2 linked regions of the Coturnix japonica genome follow. The protein of the gene in region 1 purifies or fractionates together with the protein of each later gene. This does not show direct contact. Links are inferred from orthologs where the notes say so. Each region holds a gene or a part of one and is shown in the gene's direction. Other genes may lie near its edges.

The links. Proteins that work in one complex are often made in the same cells at the same time.
Region 2: the proteins of NPLOC4 (region 1) and ASPSCR1 purify together in Homo sapiens (affinity purification with mass spectrometry; 3 studies listed by BioGRID and IntAct, with this or other methods). This does not show direct contact. The link is inferred for Coturnix japonica from reciprocal best matches to the Homo sapiens genes NPLOC4 and ASPSCR1.

The regions. Positions count from the first base shown.
Region 1 is NC_029533.1:5,200,509-5,204,225, reverse strand, and holds part of NPLOC4 (nuclear protein localization protein 4 homolog), read left to right. Parts: coding exon 1-99; intron 100-1,135; coding exon 1,136-1,315; intron 1,316-3,552; coding exon 3,553-3,601; intron 3,602-3,717. UniProt on the Homo sapiens protein: The ternary complex containing UFD1, VCP and NPLOC4 binds ubiquitinated proteins and is necessary for the export of misfolded proteins from the ER to the cytoplasm, where they are degraded by the proteasome.
Region 2 is NC_029533.1:4,396,086-4,400,468, reverse strand, and holds the start of ASPSCR1 (tether containing UBX domain for GLUT4), read left to right. Parts: upstream 1-1,419; 5' UTR 1,420-1,454; coding exon 1,455-1,553; intron 1,554-1,641; coding exon 1,642-1,697; intron 1,698-2,454; coding exon 2,455-2,569; intron 2,570-4,383. UniProt on the Homo sapiens protein: Tethering protein that sequesters GLUT4-containing vesicles in the cytoplasm in the absence of insulin. Modulates the amount of GLUT4 that is available at the cell surface. Enhances VCP methylation catalyzed by VCPKMT.

The DNA.
Region 1 (3,717 bases):
TGGTTTCAGGAATAATGGGTTTTCTGTCTACACCAATAGAAACAGGACAGGAGAGATCACAGCATCACAAAACAAATCCCTCAACTTACTGAAAATCAAGTGAGTCCTGACAGAGAGTGCTGTGGGCGGAGGGGGAGCTTTGTACAACAGGGTGCCTTTTCTCTAAGCTTGTCTGAACTCTCCCCTCTGAGCTGAGCAGCAGCAGCCACCATCGCAGTACAGCAGACTCCAGCTTTCAGCTGTCACTTGCCAGCTGCTTGAAGAGACAATCTTGACTGACATTTAGAAATGGAGGTGGTCAAAGCAACTAGGTGTTAGGCTGTGGCAGCTGCTTCTTTGGTCACTTTTTGCATTGCAATTTGCTTGTTTGGATCAGCAACAGGCCTCATTTTTGCTCCCTCATCCCTGCTTGCACTCAAACTATACTTTTGCTTTTTTTTTTCCTCCTTGATTTAATGCCAGGGTCTGATAATCCCCTGCACAGAAGCCAGGTGCCTAGGGAGATCAGAAATGCCAAATGATTGATTCACTTTGCATTTGGTTGGAGTGTCTTCATTCTGTTAACATCAAGAATAATGTTAAACCGACTTAAAATACAAGAGCTGCTACCGTTGCGTGTAGCTTGTCACTTGATTGTATCAGCACTGGGAGCTGCCTTGGGAGGGCTGTGACTTGGTGTGCACAGGAACCATGTAAATCCCTTTCTCTGGTGGAGCTGTTGCTTCTTTCTGCTCTCTCTTCTTTTTCCTTGATCTTGTTTCCTGATAAAGATGCCAGAGAAGGAGATAGAGCCATGTTTGTTAGTCTGTTTGTAGGCTGTGATAAATCACACGCTCCTCCGTGATCCAGGAAGTTTGCTACCCAGAAATACTCGCTGAAGGAACATGGACACTAATGTGGTTTGTAACGAGCAGCAGATCTAGCACAGGCGTTTCCTGCACCCTTCAGCACAAAGGAGCCAGTTCCTTCAAGTGGTTAGGGTGAAGGTCTGGTGTAGTTCAGTTACTGGTGGAAGGGGGTGGTCTGATCCTTTCCAGCTGTCTGAGCAAGTCTTATCACCTGCGCTCCCACCCTGTTGTATCTGGAAGCAAAGCTTGTTCTGTGCTGATGCTTCTGTGTTTTTCCACCCCCACAGGCATGGCGACATGCTGTTTCTGTACCCATCGAGCCCAGCAGGCTCTTCCTCAGAGACCATGGACACCTCTGTCTCCCAGAGCTCGCGGCCGGTGGGGGCCCCCCAGGTGGTGGAAGATGACATCGACCAGTATCTGATCAAACAGGATGGGAAGATCTATCGAAATCGAGACCAGCAGCTGTAAGTACCAACAGGTGGCTCGCTGTCAGTGCATCTGTGCCTCACCAGACTGTCACATCTTGCCTGAAACCAAGAGCCAGGAAGTGTGCTATGGGAACTGCCGTCTGAGCCACTGCTTTATCCTTGCTGCCTTTGAAATATTCACGAGGGAAAACAGCCCTTGCCATTGTCCTGCAAGGTTAAAGTAAAGCTCTGGTGAGCTGAGGAAGGAAGCAGATACCAAAATTCCAGGGGCTTGGCCAGGAAGGACTCGTTCAGAGCATCTATTGTTTTGATCGAGGTGGCCCCTGTTGGGGGACCAGCAATCATTTATTTTGTGCTCTGAAACCAGCAGCTTCTGTTCCACATGGTGTCAGTGTGCAGCTCCCTGTTATCTGGGTTCCGAGGTGACAGGCTTGCAGAGCCAGGTCTGCATCTTGTGTTAGAGGTGTGAATAAGGAAATGCTTTCAGCCAGAGCTTCGGCCTCAGTGTGGCTCAGCCAGCAGCAGTGGGAAGCACAGTGTTGGGGTTTGGTTAATTGCAGACAGCTCCTCTGTCAGGGCTTTCACCTTTCCTGCTGCCCTGCAGGGGCAGCTGACAACAGCTGCATATGTCTTTGGTTGCAGCACTGAGGTGTGTGTGTGTGGCACATGGCCAGGGATGTCCCAGGCAGAAGCCCTTCTGTGTCTTTGGATCCCACCAATCCTCCTTATAAAGGAAAAATAAAATGAAGGGAATGAGTGGGAGCCACGTCCAAGGACAGAGACGTGGAATTTGGACTTGGGTCTCTGCCTCTGCTTGGTTTTTGGCTTCCTTTCCATCACATGCCTTTCTTAACCTTCCTGTGAAACCGTGGAGTCCATTTTGCTAACAGAAATGCAGCAAGGTTTAACTTTGCCAAAACTCTTAGCTGCAAGAGGCTTAGATAAACAAAACAGCTTGTATTTTTGTAAGGGTAATAATACAATGGTGACTTAATACCACCATAAATCTCCACTGATGCTGCTGAAATGTCCTCTGTCTGGATGGGTGTTTTTTGTGACTCATTGTTAACAGTGTCCCAGTTGGCTCCTGCATGGTGGTTGATTTGGGGCTAGGCCCCTCCACAAAGTAGCTTCTGAAAGGACTCAAGTGAAAATGTTAAAGTCAACCAGGAATTCTTTGTAAGACAGGATAGCTCACCCTTCCCCTTTGTATTGTCTTCCATATGGTTTATCTTCAACGCTGCAGCAGCAAGTAAGTTTGGAGAGATGAAGCCTTAAGGTAGAAAATCCTATCTAACCTTTTCAGACTGATGATAAATGAGGCAAGAGTCACATTATTGAAACAATAAAGGCAAAACCCACCACTGTGTGGCAAAAACATTGTCCTTAACTTAACCACGTTTTTCAAAAGAATAAATGAAGGTATTGTTCTTAGCAGGGAGCCAAAGCACAGCGGCGGATATTTATGATAAAATGTGTGTGTCTGGGCTTGTTCCTGTATTTGTGAGTGCATATCAATCTAAACATGAGGGGATGCTGGCGTTGGCTGAGTGCATTAGCAGCCTTTAGTGGTCCTTTATGTACATTATCTGCCACAATACTTTGCTAAAAGCACTGCTGCAACTGGATCCCATCCATTTCGTCTCCAGAAGAGCCAACATCCATGCTGCTCTCTAGAGGATCTCTTTGCAAAGCTAGCACTGACCTGTTCGTTGTGCTGGGGCAGAGGTGCACGGGGATTCTTTTGTATTTTCTTTTTAATCAGCCTCCTCAAAAGGAGATGTTTTCCCCTCTGCTTTGTAACTTCACCCAGCAGGTCCTTATCAGTCTGATAAACACATGCTTCCCTGCTTGTTCCAGACCATCCTCTAGTGACTGATAAAGGCTGGATGTTTTGGTTGTCTTTTTTGTTAAAACCACACAGGCCAACCCCGTGACGTAGGTTTAAAATCCTTTGGATTGAAATACAACCTCCAGGTGGGGTTGTAAAACTTGAGAAGCTGTGATCTGATGCTGGTTCACGTGGCTGTCCAGCGCAGAACAGCTTGCCAGTGACACAGACATGCGAAGAGTCTGATCTTAACCCAAGACTCTCACATTTAAACTCACACTACCGCTGTCTCTGTCATATGTCATAATAAGTCGAGAGTTGTTCAGGTTAAGATGGTTGCCCAGATCTTCTACGCTAAAACTGTTAAGCTGTAACAGTCTCCCTAGACTAACTTTTCTGTTATTGAATGAGTCTTGTTCTGATTCTGTTTCTCTTTGCATAGGTGTCGCCACGGCCCCTTGGGTAAATGTGTGCATTGTGTACCATTAGAGGTAAGAGCCCCAGGAACGTCTTACAGAAAATCACCATGGGAAGGCATGTCACCTGAAGCTCTTGGATTCAGTTTCTCCCAGTAGGAATGCTTCTCCTCGTAGTGTTGCCCATGTAG
Region 2 (4,383 bases), about 800 kb from region 1:
TGCAATGGTTGTTTTGCTGCACTCACTGGTAGCACTGCAGGCATCTTCACCCCGACAGCAGCAGAAATCTGCGTTGTTGAAGATATTTTCAGCTGTTCCCTAATGAGTCCCTCTTTCCTTGTTGCACTTTAATGAGCTCCAGGTTGATTTTTCCTCCCCCTCCTTTCTCTCCTGGCGCTTCTCATTTGAGATGAATATTTAAGATGAGAAGTGGCTCTAGATACATAACATGACCCTTAACCTCCGTGTCTAACTCTGACTTGCCATTAAAAGCTCCGTCCATCCCTATTCCTGCAACATGAAGATTCTCAGCTGGAATTACATTCATGTTTTTTACCCCTTATTCAACAGGAGCAACTTTTCTGTACAGGTTGTGTCACTTTCAGATGCAAAATAGGAACCAGCTGCCTTTTTCTGACATTAAATAAGAGCCACCCCCCCACCCCATCCAGGAACTGTTTTCAGGCTCTATGAAAACTGAAATGTATCTTTTAACACTTAATGGTTGCTCCATCTCAGCAGCTGTCATTAACACAGCCATCTTAATTGTTTCTTCATACCTTCTGTGAAGGCATTCGCCAATGGGAGGGCAGGGTGCCTTGATTTGTGTGTGATGCTTGGGTTGCTCCCTTATCACCCAAGCACCCTGTGGTATTTGTTGCCCCATTTGTAGGCATGGTGTGACAGCAGCCCTTCCCAACAGAACAGAGAGAACAATAGTGAATTAAAGACACTGTTGAGTACTAAACAACGTGTTGTACACTACGACATCCCTTACTGCTGTCACCACATCCTATGGAGCAGTGCTGGTGTTGGATTTGGGGAGCTGTGCTCAGCAGCCAGGAGACGTCTGCATCAGTCACTTCCCACTGCCTCGTTTCTTCCCTTCTTTGCCGTGCTTAAGACCGGGTGTTATCTTTAATAGGGCTCTTTTCTTTTATAAGCCGGGCAGAACAGAGCTGGATGGAGGCAGCGGGGGAAAGCTTCAGCTAAAGGAATTCCAGTGGCCAACCCAGGCTCCCTTTCTTAACGACCGGAGCAACCAGAGCCCCGTCTGCAGCTGACTCTTCGGGAGGGCGTTCAGCACAGCAGGGCCGGTGCTGGGAGCGAGGGGAAGCTCTGGCCGCTCTGGGCACGCGATGTGACGGATCCTGGCTCCCGGAGCATCATCTGATCGGATCGGCTCGTAGCGCTGATGGAGGTTCGGCCGTGGCGCCGTCTGTTCCGCGCTGTCTCACGGGCAGCCGCTGGGAGCGTCGGCTCGGAACCACGGGGATGGCGGTGCTGCCGGGCCCAGAGAGAGCTGAGCCCGGAACCCTGCTCTGCTCACCGAGCTTCCTTCGAGCTCGTTGTACCGGCTGAGATATCGCCCCGCACCCGCAGCAGGCCCCGCTCGTACCGGCATCGGGGGCGGAGCGGGGCGGGCGCAGCGCGGCTCCTCCCCGGGAGGGAAGATGGCGGCGGCGGGCGGGGGGGGTGCGGCGGTGTCGGTGTTGGCCCCCAGCGGGCGGCGGGTCACGGTGCGGGTGGGGCCCGGCACGGTGCTGCTCCAGGTGGGTCCGGGCCGGGGGCGGTGCGCGGCGGGGCCGGGCTTGGAGTTGGGCTCGGAGCCGGGCCGTGACGTCTCCGTTCTCTCGGCAGATCCTCGAGGAGGTCTGCAGGAAGCAGGGCGGCAGTCCCGCCGAGTACGGCCTCAAGTGAGTCCCTGCGCCGGGTCGCCCGCGCCGCTTCAGCTCCGAGCCGGGCCGAGGCCTAGGCCCAGGGCTGGGCCCTGCACCATAACGCCCGGTGTCGCGGCCCTCACGCCCCCAGCTGCCCGCCCTGCTGGGCCCGGGAAGGCCGGGTGGGAGCAGCCGCCTGGCTGCTGGGTGTCCCGGAGCCGTGTGCTGAGCCTGGGGCTGGTGTTACTGCCATAGAAATACAGGTGTTGTGTGATAATACACGGGGATACAGTTCGTAGTTAGCACTGGGGAGAGAGGCCCATGTTGCACAATTCTGACGATCCTTCAGAAGGTTATTTTCTTCAAATCAATCTCAGTGGATTTTCCAGTGACAAAGTCCATTCAGTTTTGAGGCAGATACTGAAATCCTTTCATAACGACATGCCCCTGCTTCTCCCCCTCATACACTTTCTGTAGTTCCCTGCAGGACCCCTCTGTTTCCTGGTGTTCTGACAGCAGTAACATACCTTGTTAGTTATCATTGAATGCTCAGCTTGTGTGCGATTCAGCTGGCGTTTCTCTGACATTGCTCTCATTAGAGCATATGTTGAAGATTTTATCTGTAACTTCTACAAACTGTAGTTTTCAGTATGCTGCACCATCACATTATATGCCTTACAGCCTGCCCATGGAGTGTTCTCTTGTTCCAGCCCTGGATGCTACGTCCCTGAAGTGATGTGATGGTGCTCTGTGATGGTTCCCTGATATCTTCACCTGCTGTGTTTTTCTTTAGGTTTCAGAGAAATGTTTTGGATCTCACTTTACAGTGGAGATTTGCCAGACTGCCCAACAATGCCAAGCTGGAGATGGTGCCAGTCTCTTGTAATAAAGTGGGAACTGGAAACACGGTACGTTCATTACAAATAGTGACCTGATTTGTACAATTTTCAGCCCTGCTGGATACGATCCTGTCAGATCTAATGAGTAAGAGTGTGTTAAAGGCTGCCCAGTACTTGAGTGGAGGACCACAGTGGAAGTGTGATGGAAAACAGTTTGGTAGCTGGAAGTCTTTGCTTACAGTCCATATGGTCATGGAGGGAATAGGGGGTTCTTTTGAAGAGCTGATAGACTTAACAGTCAAAAATATATACGACCTTAAAGATCGCTGATGACTTTGCTCAAAAGCTGAGTGAGTTTTCTTTCCCAGTTTCTATTTCAGTTACTGTAGTTTGCCTCTGAGTCTCAACTAAAATCTCAGTTTTGTACAGAATTCATGGTGTATTCACACAGCTTTCTCTGACATGCAGTGTCTAGCAGTGGCCTAATGCCCCTATTTACTGCTAGCAAAAGGCTTATGGGTGCTTTGTTCTGTAGGAGTTATTGTCATCTTCAAGGAGACCTAAATCTTTATATGCTTGTCATCCTAACAGCTGGAGGCACAACTCAATGGATATGTGTTACTGAGCATAAACATTTTATGTGGTAAAATCTTATTTAAGCAGTCTGGAAATGAGAATGTGTCTGTCACTTAAAGTAATCTCTTCTTTTACTGATGTGCTTAATAAGGAGCTTCTCGGATTAAGTGAAAATCTTCAGGTCTGTTGCTCTCTTAATGCCTGCCTGCCAAATTGTGACGGTGGTTTTATGTTGTAGGTGGTTAGTTTGGCTGTCACATGAATAAACTCATACATACATTGGAATTTGAACAGTGCTTTATTGGAAGACTTTGGGATCTCCACTCCCGTTTGCTGTGGGTGTGTTTTATAGCTTTGAGTATCACTAAAAGTTACCATTAAAACCATTGTTACCATTATCAGTTACCAGTAAAACTTACAAGGTGGGGTCCTTGTTAAAGGTCATTAAAATTGTTATTTAGTTGTATTTCAACAAAATAATCCACAGGAATAGGAGTTCCCTTGGAGAGCTTGTTGGTGTTCGAAGGAGCTGAGAAGGCAGAGCAAACATACTTGCAAATGGTGCAGTCTGATCAGAGCTGCTGTCCTGTAAACTAAGAACAGACACTTCACTTTATGGACAATATAAGAAAATACTTTGTAAGAGTAAATACAGTTGTCCAAAAGAATTCCTTGTCTCTGAGAAAGAGCATCACGTTCAGTAGGAAGTTTGAAACAACTAGATGGTTCTGGGGATTGAACTGATGCTGTTCTGGGACTGGGATTTTTTAAAGGACTTTTGCAATTGACTGCCTGTGACTTTCTTGACATACTTAGCTTTGAACTGTTGCCCAAGAGACTGATGCAACTGGCAGTCTGAATTTCAGGGCCAGATTCTGGTAGAATGATGTCAGCTGTCATCACTCTGTAGCTGAGGGGGTAATCTCAGGCTTGTCTTCAGCATGGAAGAAACCAGGAGGTCGTGTTAATGGTGGGCTGAAACTACTACCTTCTGTTGGCTGGTTGTTGGTGATGCCACCGTAATTCCCATCTCCAGCAGATCAAGATCTGCAGTCCTGTAAGGGCTGGTGGGAGCTGCAGCAGATGATAAATGCACTCCTCCAAAGAAATTGCAGTATATAATGTGATTGTTTGGCTGTTAAGCCTTTTCTCTGGGGCTGTTCCTCAGCTTATTCATTTTGGAATCGTTCTTTATTTATTGATTTTCCAATAGAAATTTTCTATAGAGTATGAAGGATGCTTCATGAGCTAATAAGTGTAGATGTTCACGTTCCAGGTTGGAAAACACCTGTTCTTTTTTTCTTCCT